2 linked regions of the Schizosaccharomyces pombe genome follow. The protein of the gene in region 2 binds, or shares a complex with, the protein of the main gene of each other region. Each region holds a gene or a part of one and is shown on either strand. Other genes may lie near its edges. A codon is read from its position in the direction of its gene.

Evidence for each region. The genes of interacting proteins can lie anywhere in the genome.
Region 1: the proteins of cox7 (region 2) and cox3 are in contact, whole or in part, in a cryo-EM structure (PDB 8C8Q), measured with the Schizosaccharomyces pombe proteins. Residues at the interface, in NP_001343154.1 of Schizosaccharomyces pombe: Lys2 (codon at 3,848), Asn3 (codon at 3,851), Ile5 (codon at 3,857), Gln8 (codon at 3,866), Gln9 (codon at 3,869), Leu12 (codon at 3,878), Gln13 (codon at 3,881), Pro18 (codon at 3,896), Thr19 (codon at 3,899), Tyr20 (codon at 3,902), Gln22 (codon at 3,908), Arg23 (codon at 3,978), Ser26 (codon at 3,987), Leu29 (codon at 3,996), Val30 (codon at 3,999), Tyr33 (codon at 4,008), Tyr34 (codon at 4,011), Met37 (codon at 4,020), Leu40 (codon at 4,029), Gly41 (codon at 4,032), Tyr43 (codon at 4,038), Ser44 (codon at 4,041), Ala47 (codon at 4,050), Ser48 (codon at 4,053), Arg50 (codon at 4,059), Val51 (codon at 4,062), Lys55 (codon at 4,124), Lys56 (codon at 4,127), Asp57 (codon at 4,130); in YP_011104931.1 of Schizosaccharomyces pombe: Ser16 (codon at 3,447), Ala17 (codon at 3,444), Ser18 (codon at 3,441), Pro19 (codon at 3,438), Trp20 (codon at 3,435), Phe23 (codon at 3,426), Val26 (codon at 3,417), Val27 (codon at 3,414), Phe29 (codon at 3,408), Phe30 (codon at 3,405), Leu33 (codon at 3,396), Leu37 (codon at 3,384), Gly41 (codon at 3,372), Tyr42 (codon at 3,369), Lys43 (codon at 3,366), His44 (codon at 3,363), Phe48 (codon at 3,351), Ile51 (codon at 3,342), Ser52 (codon at 3,339), Gly55 (codon at 3,330), Thr59 (codon at 3,318), Leu62 (codon at 3,309), Arg65 (codon at 3,300), Asp66 (codon at 3,297), Thr69 (codon at 3,288), Glu70 (codon at 3,285), Asn72 (codon at 3,279), Ile73 (codon at 3,276), His74 (codon at 3,273), Tyr231 (codon at 2,802).

What each region holds. Positions count from the first base shown.
Region 1 is NC_088682.1:5,239-12,452, reverse strand, and holds cox3 (cytochrome oxidase subunit 3), read right to left. Parts: upstream 3,493-7,214; coding exon 2,683-3,492; downstream 1-2,682. Other genes in the region: cob (apocytochrome b), read right to left, coding at 1,595-2,278; cox1 (cytochrome oxidase subunit 1), read right to left, coding at 3,661-4,528, 5,610-5,954, 7,165-7,214.
Region 2 is NC_003423.3:1,712,654-1,719,280, reverse strand, and holds cox7 (cytochrome c oxidase subunit VII Cox7), read left to right. Parts: upstream 1-3,736; 5' UTR 3,737-3,798; intron 3,799-3,838; 5' UTR 3,839-3,844; coding exon 3,845-3,910; exon of another isoform or gene 3,911-3,977; coding exon 3,978-4,070; exon of another isoform or gene 4,071-4,092; intron 4,093-4,120; coding exon 4,121-4,141; downstream 4,142-6,627. Other genes in the region: transcriptional activator MBF subunit Rep2, read right to left, coding at 398-1,057; cay1 (cactin), read right to left, coding at 4,395-5,024, 5,108-5,560, 5,607-5,699, 5,755-6,006, 6,053-6,178.

The DNA of each region.
Region 1 (7,214 bases), on a different chromosome or scaffold from region 2:
TAGCTAAAATCTCTTTAGTTTGAGTATAACTTCCATTAACTGCAACTATCCAATCATCAGCGTATCGAACATACATTAGTTTATTAGATTGAATACCATGTATCTTATTAGGAACATTACGCATTTCAATCGCTATTTTTCTAATTGTTTTTGAATCAGCATTTTCTCTTTTGGCTTTTGCCATTAGATAATGAAGATGTCTAGATTCAGAAGTTCTTTTACGAGCTATTGGACCTTTGTAATCAAATTCTGATTTTAGGTTTTCAATAAATTCATCCAATTGATGAAGGTAGATATTTGCTAAGATAGGACTAACTATAGAACCTTGAGGAGTTCCAACAATATCGTATTTATATCTATTTTCAGTTAGATATCCAGCATTTAAAGCTTTACGAATTAATTGAATAAATCGTTGATCTTTAATTTTAGAAGATAATAGAGCAATTAATTTATCATGAGGGATAGAATCAAAACAAGCTTTAATATCTCCTTCAATCCACCAAGTACAACCTTTAAAATTAGTGAAAATAGATCTAAGAGCAGAATGACAACTTCGACCTGGTCTAAATCCATGAGAAGCAGTATTAAATAATGGTTCATAGATAGCCTCAAGGACTATTCTAAGAATTTCTTGAACTAATTTGTCTCGAGGACTACCAATTGTTAATGGTCTTTTTCCACCACTGGCTTTATCAATTAAGATACGTCTACCAGGAGTGAAGTTAAATTCTTCAGATTTAAGGCTTTGGATAATTTTATCAATAACATCTATAGACATTCCATCTAAAGTATCCGGTTTAAGACCAGGAGTCATCATACCAGGATTAGATTTTAATTTATTATAAGCAATAAGGAACATATCTCGATTTAATAGGAAATCTTTGTAGAGATTTCTATCAATTACAAGATTAGGATAATTTTTTGATCGTTTAGATAAATCGTCTAGTTTATTTAGTACATTTTTTGATCGTCCTGATCCTGTACTAAATCCTCTTACATTAGATACCCCTAAAAAAGTATTAATGTATCCTAAACCAATATTAAATATTGATCTATTGGAAGACTTTAATGTAGCTGATCCACTTCACTGTGTTGAAATCTTTGCAGAGTTCAAACTTCTTCCCTCTTTCAAAGGACCGTATTGATCAAAATGATCAACAGCTACTCCAGGATCTCTGACCGCATAGTCATTACTGACCTTAGCGGGACCCGTAGTTGTATATATGTTTGAGTTGATAGACGTAGGTTTTCCACTCATTCCCTTAATTGTACTATTGGTACAACTCTCTTCTCCTGGTGTGTATCCTTGGTCATAAAAGCCAACCAAAGATCTAGAGAAGAATGTCTCTATTCAGCTAAGACAATCACCTATCTGAGGGTGAGATGGGAATTGGAATTCGGGCAATACAGCTCTAACCGTATCTATTTGAACTGATCCATCTGAACTTATCTGTTTCGTTACAGGAAGGACCTTCTGTACACATGCTCTGTTCGGCATTGGGTTTCCCCAGCTACCTAAGTGTATTGTTCATATCTTTACACACAAGATATCCCTTTCTCTATGAGGGTACACATATATACCACAACGGCGCAATTTTATCAGATAATACGGGTTCATTGGGATTCTGTCCATATTAGCTGTTACACCTAATGGATTTGATGAACCATTAGTATGTAGAGCAATTAAATGCATTACTGATAAAGCAGCAATAACAAAAGGCATTAAATAGTGAAGTGAGAAGAATCTATTTAAAGTAGGATTAGATACACTAAATCCACCCCATAATAGATGAACTAAATCATCACCAATGAAAGGAACAGCTGATAATAAATTAGTAATAACAGTTGCACCCCAGAATGACATTTGATTAGCTGGTAAACAGTAACCTAAAAAGGCAGTAATAATAGTTAATAAGAAGATAATAACACCAATATTCCATGTCATTGTTCTTGGATATTTATAAGAACCATAATATAAACCTCTACCTATGTGTAAGTATAAGAAGATAAAGAAGAAACTAGCACCATTTGCATGGAAAGCTCTTAATAAGAAACCATAATTTACATCTCTAACAATTCTTTCAACTGAAAGGAAAGCTAAATCCATATTAGGAATATAAAAACAAGCTAAAAGTATACCAGTTACAATTTGAATAACTAATACACAAGCTAAAAGAGAACCAAAATTCCAGAAGTATGAAATATTTGAAGGTTCAGGAGCATCAATCATATAATTATTAGCCAAAGCTAAAAAAGGATTAGATTTTAAAATTTTCATAAAAATTAAATTTGAAATTATCCCTTCTAAATTGAACAATCATTATCGATAAATAGTCAAAAATTTGAAGGAATTGGGAAAAAAGATCCAAATCTTATTAAAAGGATATTGGATAATAAAAGATAAGATAGGTTAGATACTATCTGAGATCCTCTTATACCAAAAATATGGGAAAGGGATTGCTAATTAGAGGAATTGAACCTCTAACTTCGTACTTACAAGGTACGCACTCTACCAATTGAGTTAAATTAGCTAAAAAAAAAATACACACCTTCTAGGTGTGGAATCTGTACTAAGAATCGAACTTAGATCGACTCATTAGAAGTGAGATGCTCTACCATTGAGCTATACAGACTATTTTAGAGAAATAAGATATAAAAAGGGGGGAAAAATTGAAGTAAGCCTTAGCTACCCCAAATATAAATAGTTAAATAAAGGAATAACCAAACAACATCACAGAAATGCCAATAATAAATACCACATTCAAATCCATTATGATGAGTATTAGTTAAGTGGTAAGTATAAATATTATAAGTAGCAACAAGAAGTAGAATTGTACCAACAATAATATGAATACCATGAAGACCAGTAGCAAAATAGAAACTAGCACCATAAACAGAATCTGAAATAGTGAATGGAGCATTCCAGTATTCATAAGCTTGACCTCCTAAGAATAAGAATGATAAAGCGATAGTCATATATAAACCTTTTAAAGCATTTTCTCTATTTCTAGCAATTAATGAATAATGAGCATAAGTTAAACTAGCACCAGAAGTTAATAAAATTACTGTATTTAATAGAGGGACTTCTAATGGATCTATTGTTTTATCTGCTATTCCTACTGGTGGCCATACTGCACCTAATTCAAAAGTAGGTGATAATGAACTATGGAAGAAAGCCCAGAAAATAGAAGCAAATAAGAAAGTTTCAGAAATTAGGAATAACATAAATCCTATTTTTAATCCTTTTGTTACTGCTTTTGTATGTGCACCATGAATATTAGCTTCAGTTGACATATCTCTAAACCATAAATACATAGTTGCTAATAAACCTAAGAAACTGATTCCAAAGAATACTGATGAATGTTTGTATCCATGTAAATATAATGTAGCTGCTAAACAGTTAAAGAATAATACTACAGATAAGAAAAATGGCCAAGGTGACGCACTTACAATATGATAAGGATGTCCTTGAAATTTAGTAGAAAGATTCATGTTTAAGCTAAATTAGTTTATCTCAATAGTGTTCTCTCACATATAAGGAATAAAAAAATTATAAAGATACAATTTTGAATAGGATAGCTAAATTATCCTTCAATCTCCCTCTCCAATTTTTAAATTGGAATAAAGTTTATAAAATAAAAGGGGGGTTAAGATTTTAAATTAAATACTTTTTGTAGGTAATGTATTAAATGCGTGTTCGTGTACTGGTGAATGTAGTAACCATTCTATTGATTGAGCTACCCCTAATTTTTCATTTACGAAGATTACATTATCATCAAAATAGCTAGGGATTAAATAAGGATTTGTTTTAACCACTCTATTTGATGTAAATTGATCATACATAACATACATAAATAGGAATAATGAAAGAATAGAAATTACTGAACCAATACTTGATACAAAATTCCATCCCACAAATGCATCTGGATAATCTGGTATTCTTCTAGGCATACCATTTAATCCTAAGAAATGTTGAGGACCGAATACAATATTAACACCTATGAATAAAATCCAGAATTGGATTGAAGCTAGAGTTTCATTGTACATTAATCCAAACATTTTTGGACTCCAATAGTAGTATGCACCACAAAGACCAAATAATGCACCCATTGACAGAACGTAATGGAAGTGAGCTACAACGAAATAAGTATCATGGAAAGCGATATCTAATACTGAATTACTTAATATAACACCTGTTAATCCACCAATTGTGAATAAGATTAAGAAACCAATAGCATATAACATAGGTACTCTTGACCATTGTATTGCACCACCTGTTAAAGTAGCTAACCAACTGAAGATTTTAATACCTGTTGGAATTGCAATAACCATAGTTGCAGCACTGAAATAAGCTCTAGTATCAACATCTAAACCAACTGTGAATAAGTGATGAGACCATACCATTAATCCTAATAAAGCAATACTTAACATAGCCCAAAGCATACCTTCTTTACCGAAAATAGGTTTATGAGCTAAACTAGGAATAATGTGACTAACAACACCGAAAGCTGGCATAATTAAAATATAACAATAAATTTTGGTTAATGAAAAAAAATCACCCAAAAGGTGATTTATTCTTTTTAACACTCAAAAGCTTTATACCCTTGTTAGGACTTTATTTTAAATCTCAACAAATCTAATTAATATTCTTCCGATAGGGATGAGGTTTTTTTATTTGAGAAAGTCCTGATTCTGTTAAATGTTTATTTTCTTGAATAATAAGATAAGCTTTTCTTCATTTTAAATAGCTAATATATTTAGAAGATAGCAAATGATAATTATCAAAATAATTAATAACTTTTTTAGCTGAACCAAAACTAGTAGAACCATAATAATAAGTATCTTGACTTTTTCGATAGCCTATATTACCACCTAAATTATCTTTAATTAAACTCAAAAGATACTCTTTTTTTTGATCTATTTGATAGTTCAATCGAACTTCTATTTTTTTGTCCCTATTTAAAATTTTAATCTGAAAACTAGCATCAGCATCTGAGAATCCAGCTAGCCAATGATTATTTAAATTATTATTTGAATTTAAACCTAAAGTAATAGTTTTACTAAATTCTTTAAATCTAGGATGAGCAAATATATTATTAATAATCTGATTATATTTACTAGTAGTTCTAAATTTATTATTAATTAAAGTTATTACTCTTTCAATTCCTTTAGAGTTAGCTATTATAAAAAGAATAGCATTTTTATCTTTAATTTTACGTACAATACCATAACCTATTTGTTTTTTAATATAATAAGCTAATTGTATATCTAAAGAGTGAAAAGCAATAATTAATTGTTGTTTACTACTAAAATGACCATCACCATCAATTAAACCTGCTAAATAGTGACCAAATTGAGAATCATTAGCTGGTTTTAAGTGTTTAGGGAGATGAATAGAAACTTTTTTTGTTGTGATTTCGTTGCGTAAAGTCTCTGAGGTTCCCTTATTCAAAAGGTTACCTGCTGATATACTTAATTGTTTTAACATTTTTACTATAAAAATAAACACTAATCTGGTGTTTTTCTTGGAGTATTTAAAACAAAAACACTTATCTAGTATTTTTCAAGTAGTTCCAGCATATAGCAACGTTAAGAGGCCTATTAAATTGACCTCTGGATGACCAAAGAACCAGAATAAATGTTGGTAAAGTACAGGGTCACCACCACCTTCAGGAGCATAGAATGAAGTATTTAAATTTCTATCTGAGAATAACATAAATAATCCACCTGCTAAAACTGGTAAAGTAAGCAGTAATAGAATTGATGTAATCATTATAGCCCATGCAAATAATGGCATTTGATATAAACTTAATCCTGGAGCTCTCATATTAATCATTGTCGCTATTAAATTTACTGATCCTAATGTTGATGAAATACCAGTTAATTGTAAACTTAAAATAGCTAGATCAATAGCTGGACCACTATGAGAAGTGATACTTGATAGTGGTGGATATCATTTTAGTTAACAAGATTTCTCAATCTTGATCGGACTATACCTTGAACTTATTTTATTTATCCTTTGGATGTTGTGATCCTCGGGAATATTTATTTTTTAATTTTCTAATTAAATCTCTAGCTCTTAAAAGCTGTTCAAAATTATAATTTTTACGTAAAGATCTAGACCAAATTTTAAATTCTAATGATTTTACTCCTTTAAAACAATTTTCAAAATAAGATGAAAGAAATAACATTCTTTCTTTTGAACTAGTTGATAAGGAATAATTTGTAATTAAGGAATTTTTTTTTGATTTTATTTTTGGTGAGATTTGAGAATTAAATAGGAACTCTGAAATCTGAGCAAGTAGGGGTTGTTCATAATTTTGAGTAATCTCAAACCCATGAATTATTCTTACAGGGCTTTTTTGTAGTAAATAAAAGCTCCCTTCTGCTTCAATAAATCCAATTAACCAAGACTTTGTTAAATATTTTTCTAAATTAACTGGAGAATATTGTTTTAAAGACTTTTTCTCTATTCTGATCTCTTCTAGTTTACTATTTTTTTCAAAAGAATTTAGATTAGCGTCCTCTAAAATTAAGAATGCTTTTTTAAACAAATAATAATCCCAATATTTTTTAGTTAAAAGAGGGAATTGATCAAAAATATCTATAATCTTTTTAAGATGCTCTCTTCTTCTTAATCTATATATTACTGTATTAGTTGAAGATTCTTTATAAAGTGAACCAATACCTAAATTTCTCTTAATAAAATATAAAATTCTATAATTATAAAGATTTTGTGTTAATTTAAAAGTAAGAGACCATTTATTTTTGCCATTTTTTATTTTTTGTTTTGAAATACTAAAACAACCATCACCATCAGTAAATCCTACTAACCATTGAGTAAAAGAGAATTTTGATGGTGAAGATGATGAAAAACAGCTTTTTACCCTTGTAAAAGGATGTCTATTAAAAAATTTATTAAATAAGAACCTCTTCATTAAACACACTCCGAAAGAGTATGTTGTTCTATAAACCAAAAAGAAACATAAAATATTTTCTAATTGTGATAGAAACGAGTCTCTGATGGATTTAACCAGGCGAATTTTCCCCAAGTTAGTAATCTTTTTACTAGTTAAAAAATAAATTAACTGAGTAATTACTTCCGAGTAGAGGACTTTTTCGCATCGAGAAGAGTTTTCAGACAATTTTGTCTGCGGCTTTAAAACCGTCCAACCACCACCAGGTCCTTCTTCTGTTAATGCAGAAATTAATAA
Region 2 (6,627 bases):
CTTTACAGTATGTTTGCTCAATCTAGATGAAGTGTGAGCTGTATTGTAATATATTTCATTATAGCTTTCGCGAAAATAAAAAGATAGTGTCTGTAATAGTGATATTTGATAGCAAAACATAGAAAAAAGTGCATAGATGATCGTTTCCTAAAACAAGGTTATAAGAGCAGTCTTCTATCATTTCAAACTATATTTCTTGATTACCTAATTGATGTAGTAAATTATACTATGATCTCAAAATAACTTCTCTAAAAGAAGTGATGAAGCTCTCAAGAGTAAAACGACTGAGCAAAATTTTAATACGCTTTATATAACCAGCGTCATTAATAAGCGATAATTATTACATATCCGTAATGCTACTAGATACGAAAGCTGCTTCTTTGTATGAACGGAAATATTAAAAGAGCCAGTCATCTATCACGTCCTCAACAAAAAAGTCCGAAAGCTTAAAGGGAACTTGATTCAAGCAGGTTGCTTCATGCATCATAAGAGCCGTTGAATGGTTGAACGTGGTATTGCATTTTGAGCAAATTAAGTTAGGGGTGGGCCTTAAAGCCTTTTGAACACGGCCTTCACGACGGCGCATTCTCCTTCGAAGGGCAGATTTAATAGCATCACGAGCATCAGAAGAGTGATTCTCTCTCTCCTCTTGCTTCTTGGATCTAGACAAGACCCTTGCCATTAAGCCCTTGTCTTGCTTTCTATGGATAATTTGAGGAGGATCAGTTTGTTGACGAATGAGTTGAGCAATTCCAAGTTTTCCTATGACTAAAGAAGCATAAGTGACATTCCGGCGATTTTGGCTTTCTACGAGCGGTTGTTGGTTTGGCGAAGCAGCAACTGGACTACCAAATTGGTGGTTTTGTTGTATGGGCAGACAATATGCGTTCATGAATGCAAAATCATCCGAGGAAGCAAAGGAAGAAACAGATGATGGAGAAGATACAATATCACATAGTGAAGGATTAGCAATACTGGATAAAATTGGGGATGACCATGGATATGTTGGGGGGTTGTTCAGACATGGCTTGCTAAGAGGAATGTCTGCAAAATGCATGGCTTTGGATTTTAGTCAAAGAGAGGAGACAGGATACCACGATTACTATTGTTCGAGCAAAATAAATAATTAAATCCAACAAACGAAAAGATTAAGGCTTCTGATAAGGGCGATGAACACAGCTAGCAGAAGCTTCCAAAAAGTGCGAATTAAACACAAAAAAACAAAATTGAAAGGAAAGAAAAACAAATAATCAAAACCAAAAACGATAGTTTCAATCACTCCTGTTACACAGATGTTCACTTTTAAAGCTATAGTCTCACAAACCAACGGAAAAGTGGGTGCGAAATGGACAAAAAACACAGAATTGATCGAAAATTGACTATAATATTAATCAAATAGTCTCTTTATTAAATGGTGTATCTCAACTTTCCCGCAAAATCGAACTTCCAAAAAACGAGTGATCAATGTCCGAAGAGAGAGAAGCACTACTAAGAAGAACGAAAGCAAAAGGCTTAATGTAGTTCACAAAGTAGTATTGAAAAATAAGTTTGCGATAAAATGGGAAAGAGATAGTGGTCGAGAAATGGAACCAAGGAAAAGAAGGTGAGAAAATAAGAAGTACAGTGGGTAAAGGTAACAAGTATGTTACTAATGTGATGGCTGCTAAGTAACCGAGAGAATAAAATCCTACGGATTAAAACAAAACAAAAGTTACTTAAGTTGTTTTTTACATTTTAAGCTACTCAACTGTTACCATATCCTTGCACCGTACTTTTTTTTCTATTACCAAGTTGCTCACCTACCACATGAATTGGTTGCCATTTGTTTACATGCCTCATAGCAACCATACTTAATTAAAACATTGATAACTTCTCAAAAAAAGAATATGCATAAGAAAAAAAGTCATTTACATGTTTAAAAAAATAAGGCGACACATTAAATTAATTAAAATGTATCTGTTTCTCGAAATCCAGAAATGCTACTGAAACAACAAATTTCTCCTGCATTGGGTCAATTCATTGACTATCGTAGCGAAACAAATTTTAAAAAATTTATTAAATATTTTGGAAGTTGTTTTCCATTTGGTTTCATTCATTCGTCAACCGTTTATCACATTAAAGCCTTGTAAACAAATTGCACCACAAACCTTTCTTAACGAGACCCAATCTTCAATATTTAGCTTAGCATTGCTCCGTTCCATTTAAAATTAATCACTCTATTTTATTTTAATTAGAATTAACATGGAGCTTGCTTCAAACTCTTAAAAACCAATTGCACACCACTTAACCCTTTATAATATAATTGTTGTGAAAATAAGCAGAAGTCCAGCAAAAACTTTCAATTTACCAATCAATCAACTTTTTAAAAGTAAATCAATTAAAGTTGTATTTTGAAGTCAAATACAGCAGATTATGGATTAACAAAGCAGAAAAGGGAATTCACTCAAAGAGACGTAAGGCTTAATTCTTTCTCACAAGTAGTTTAGTTTTTCAAACCCCTATTTTATTGAAGATTCTAATTATGCCCTATCACTGTAACTAAGCATCCAAAGGAGTCTTAGTACCTGTAAATGAGAATAGCATTAAAGCCGTAAAAGCTATAAACTTTTGTAGCGTAATTGCTATTTTTATAGACAGTTTTATCCTTCCAGAGGTTACTTTGCTTATTATTTTTAACTTCCTCCAACACTATGCCAATGAAAATACGTTAAATAATCTTAGTTTTGAACAGCTCACAGTGGAAGACTAATAAACAAAACTCGACATAATATTATGATGATCATCCAGTCACTAAGTGAGCTATATTTTAAGCTAATGCAATCAATTTTCTTCAAATGCATGAAATTTAAAGGTTTACCCCAACAATATAATGTTGTGTTCAGTTGTGATAATTGTAATCTTTAAAGTATAGCTCGGTTAAGTGCACCTTAATTTCATAAGATTATTATTAGGCCCATAAAATTTGACGAAAGTTTTCTCGGTATTAGTATTCCAAAAAAAAAAAAAAAGAAAAAAAAAAAAAAACAAGGAAGAAAGCAGAGTATCTTTAAAGTACTTTCTGAAATATAATGTATAAGAAACTGTTTTAGTTCATCAATTACTTGAAAAGACGATTTAGCATTTTCAATAACTCAAACCATCATATTCTATCTGTAAGTCATTGTCAGAATCAATTAAAAACTTTCAACGTCCTTCGTATAATATGAACATAGAGCTTTGTAATACGAATTGCTTAAATGGACAAGGAATTTTCGCGTTTGTAGAGAATACTGATGAAGGATAGAACATATGTAACTCAGTATAAAATTGTTCCCTTATCTCAACAACCATAAGAATTTATATAAGTACAAGCAAATGCATCTTCATTATTAACTTTGATCGCTATACTATTATTGCTCCGAGTATGCCATGGACGCATTTATACCATGTTTGAAAGAGATTCCCCAATAGCTTATAAGGAGATAGCTTTAGTTTTTGAAGAAGAATCAATCTGACAATGATTCCGTCCTTAAATTATTTGACAACAATTAATTTATATTATTAGCGTTAATCTCGTTCAGTAAGATTAATTTAAAATGATACATACCAAAAACGATAAAGGAGCATTTTTTTAATAATACGAATATCTTTCACTTAACCGTCTTATTAATATACTTAAATATGTGAGTTTATGAGGTTGACTCTGTGTTCTGGCACCAAGATGTACTAATTGGAACCATCAATCCTTTCCGCACCTACCTACATTTTATCGTTAACCCTCATTTTTTTAACAGTTTAACTTGTTAACTTGATTATTGGTTCGTTTTATAATTATTAAAACAATTATTAATTAAAAAAGAAAAAAATGAAGAATACTATTGTTCAACAACAACGCTTTCTCCAAAGCATCCACAAACCAACTTACTTGCAGGTAAGTTTTAAACGAAACTTGTTTTTAATTATGAAGAGAAAAAAGAACCTAATTGTTTAATATTTAGAGACCAGGTAGTTTTGCTCTTGTTTATCCTTACTACGCTGTTATGGCTGGTCTTGGTTTGTATTCCCTTTATGCCTCTGGAAGAGTCATTTTCGTATGTTATTACTCGATTTATACTATTTTTTTCTAACCTTTCAAAATTAGGGGAAGAAAGATGCTTTTTGAGGACATCCGAAGCATATTTTTATGTCAGGGAACTTCAAATTTCTATGATGCCTTTTCCTTCTATTTATCACCCCCTTCTTCTTGAATTAGTTTAGCTTTTCAATCACGAACTAATCGATTTCGTGTTTCTTTACGATTAAACTTATTTATGCAATACTTAAGTAGTTTAGTAGATGCCTTTTAAGGTTGTTTAGCTGCACATGTAACAGTAATTTAAATTTCATTAAATGTACAACATGATAAATCAGTTATTTTACCTTCTATGATGAAGCTTTTTGAATCGAAAATGGAGGGATAAAACACCATTGTCAAAACTGCTTTTAAACCCATGATCTCGTTTTGCACTGTAATCCCAATCTTTATCTACTATACTGAAGGCAATATCCTGATATGGTTCCCCAGCTATAAAACGTATAATGCAAACATCGTCTTGTAAATCAGTAGTGTCGCTTTTATTCTTCCTTCGTGTTCGTTCTATTCGATACGTTGGTGCACGGCCTGTACCTATTAAATCTGGATAAAAAACGTTAAAACGGTACCCTTGAACTGCTTTGGGAGGTGGGTGGGCTTCATTGAAATGTGCTTGATTATAAGAATTCCATTCAAACCCAAGCAAAACTCTATTAAAGTAGTGAGGCTTTTTCAAAGTAACCCCGTTTTCGTTAACAACACGGGTTTGCCCTTCTACATAGTCCCCAAGCATCTCTTGCTCCTCTGCATCATCGGATTGTAAGTATTCTCTTTCGAGTCGTGCCCTGTTGGCAATTGAAAATTCATCCTCGTTAATCAGATTACTGTTTTTCGGCAAAGTTGGCTTTTGTTTTTGGGTAGGTATCGATATTGGAATATAAGTGCTAGACTTTACAATATTGACATGATCATTCTAGAAAAGATTTTGGTTAGGACAAAAGATGGAAATCGTAATTTGGAAGAGAGTTAATATTATGAAAAACACAAATATCTTACCAATTCTTTTTCATAATCGGCTTGTTCTTCAGGTTGTATCCTGCGTGGTATCGCTTGAGCCCTCAAAATGGGCTTCGGGTCTATAGGGACAATATATAACTTCTCTTCACGATCCTTCATATTTGACAGTTTTTTGGCATCGGAAAAAGCTTTGTCCCATTCTTCATTATCAAGTTTATTTTTTCGAATTTGTAATTCTTCATTAAAAGTCTTTTTTAAATAAGCAATGGCCTTGTAAGATTTTAAAGAGTTTAGTAAATCAACCCAATAATCTGTATCGAGAGGGACATTGCTCTTCAATTTTTTTTGAATTTGTGCCTCAAGCTGTTCTAATTGTTCAAAAGATTTAGGGGCTAAAATCCTTTGTACTTCACCTGCTACGACCTTTAACCCTCTTGAAAATTGCCCAACTTTGTTATGTTCCATTCGAGAATTCACTAGCATTTTAACGTACTATAATGTATAATTTAGCACTTAAAGCATAAAAAATAATCCATACCTTCCAATAAGTTAGTCTACATTGGTTCGTTTCCAGCTGCTGAATATCACCAATATTTCTAGATATCTCCTCCAAATCTTCTGCTTTATAACTCTAAGTATGTTAATGATTAATCTGTTATAAAGTAAAAATAAAATAAGTCCCTTACTTGAATAACAGAGAGTGGATCAAACATGTCAACTGTTCCAAAATCAATTGAATTTTTTTCTCCATTCTCTTCCCATTCTGGGCCTGGCATCAAGTAAACGCTGACAAGAAGTTTATCTATAGGCTTAGAACGATCATTCTTAAGTCGAATAATAGCTCTTCGAAGCTGCTGTAAACGCAAAAATTCCCGTTCTTGCATTTCTTTCGTTTCCCTACTTCGCTCTTCCTCTTTCATAGCATCTCTCACTCTCGGCTAAAGGGAAGGTTAATTCAAAAACAACTAACATTTTCCTACTTACTAAATTATAATTTGCTCTTGCATTTTGATTTGAAGGTCGAAATGAACGAGGTGAAGAAGATCTCGAAGCATGCCTTTTTTCAGGTCTACTTCTGTTGAAATCGCGAGTTGAATCACGAAATGCCATAGTAATATATTTAAATTCAATGCCTTAAATACCAATATTGCTGTATGAAGGGTGCTTTCCAACAGAAGAGAATCCAATTGCTTTTTTTTTATTTGAAACAACTCAATGAGTAGGTTAAGTTTTTTTTTTTGAAATTTGAAACGTAGAGCTTTGTTATTTGATAAATGAACTTAAGGTAATCAATTACTTAGCAATAATAAGACTTATCCAACAATAGTAAAATTTATGGTTATGGCAAAGGTGAAATTTTATTGCATATTCGAATGCTTAGTAGGTAGTTCTAATTTGACGCTTGGTGGTTTGAAAGAAATTGAGCGGTAATGTTATAGCACGAAAAACCCCTAATTCATTATAGTTGCTATTGGTAAAAGTCTCAACGATATCGACTAAAAGGTGAAGTAAAACTCAGTATTTAGTACCTAACGAATATAGGAATACCCAATATAAAA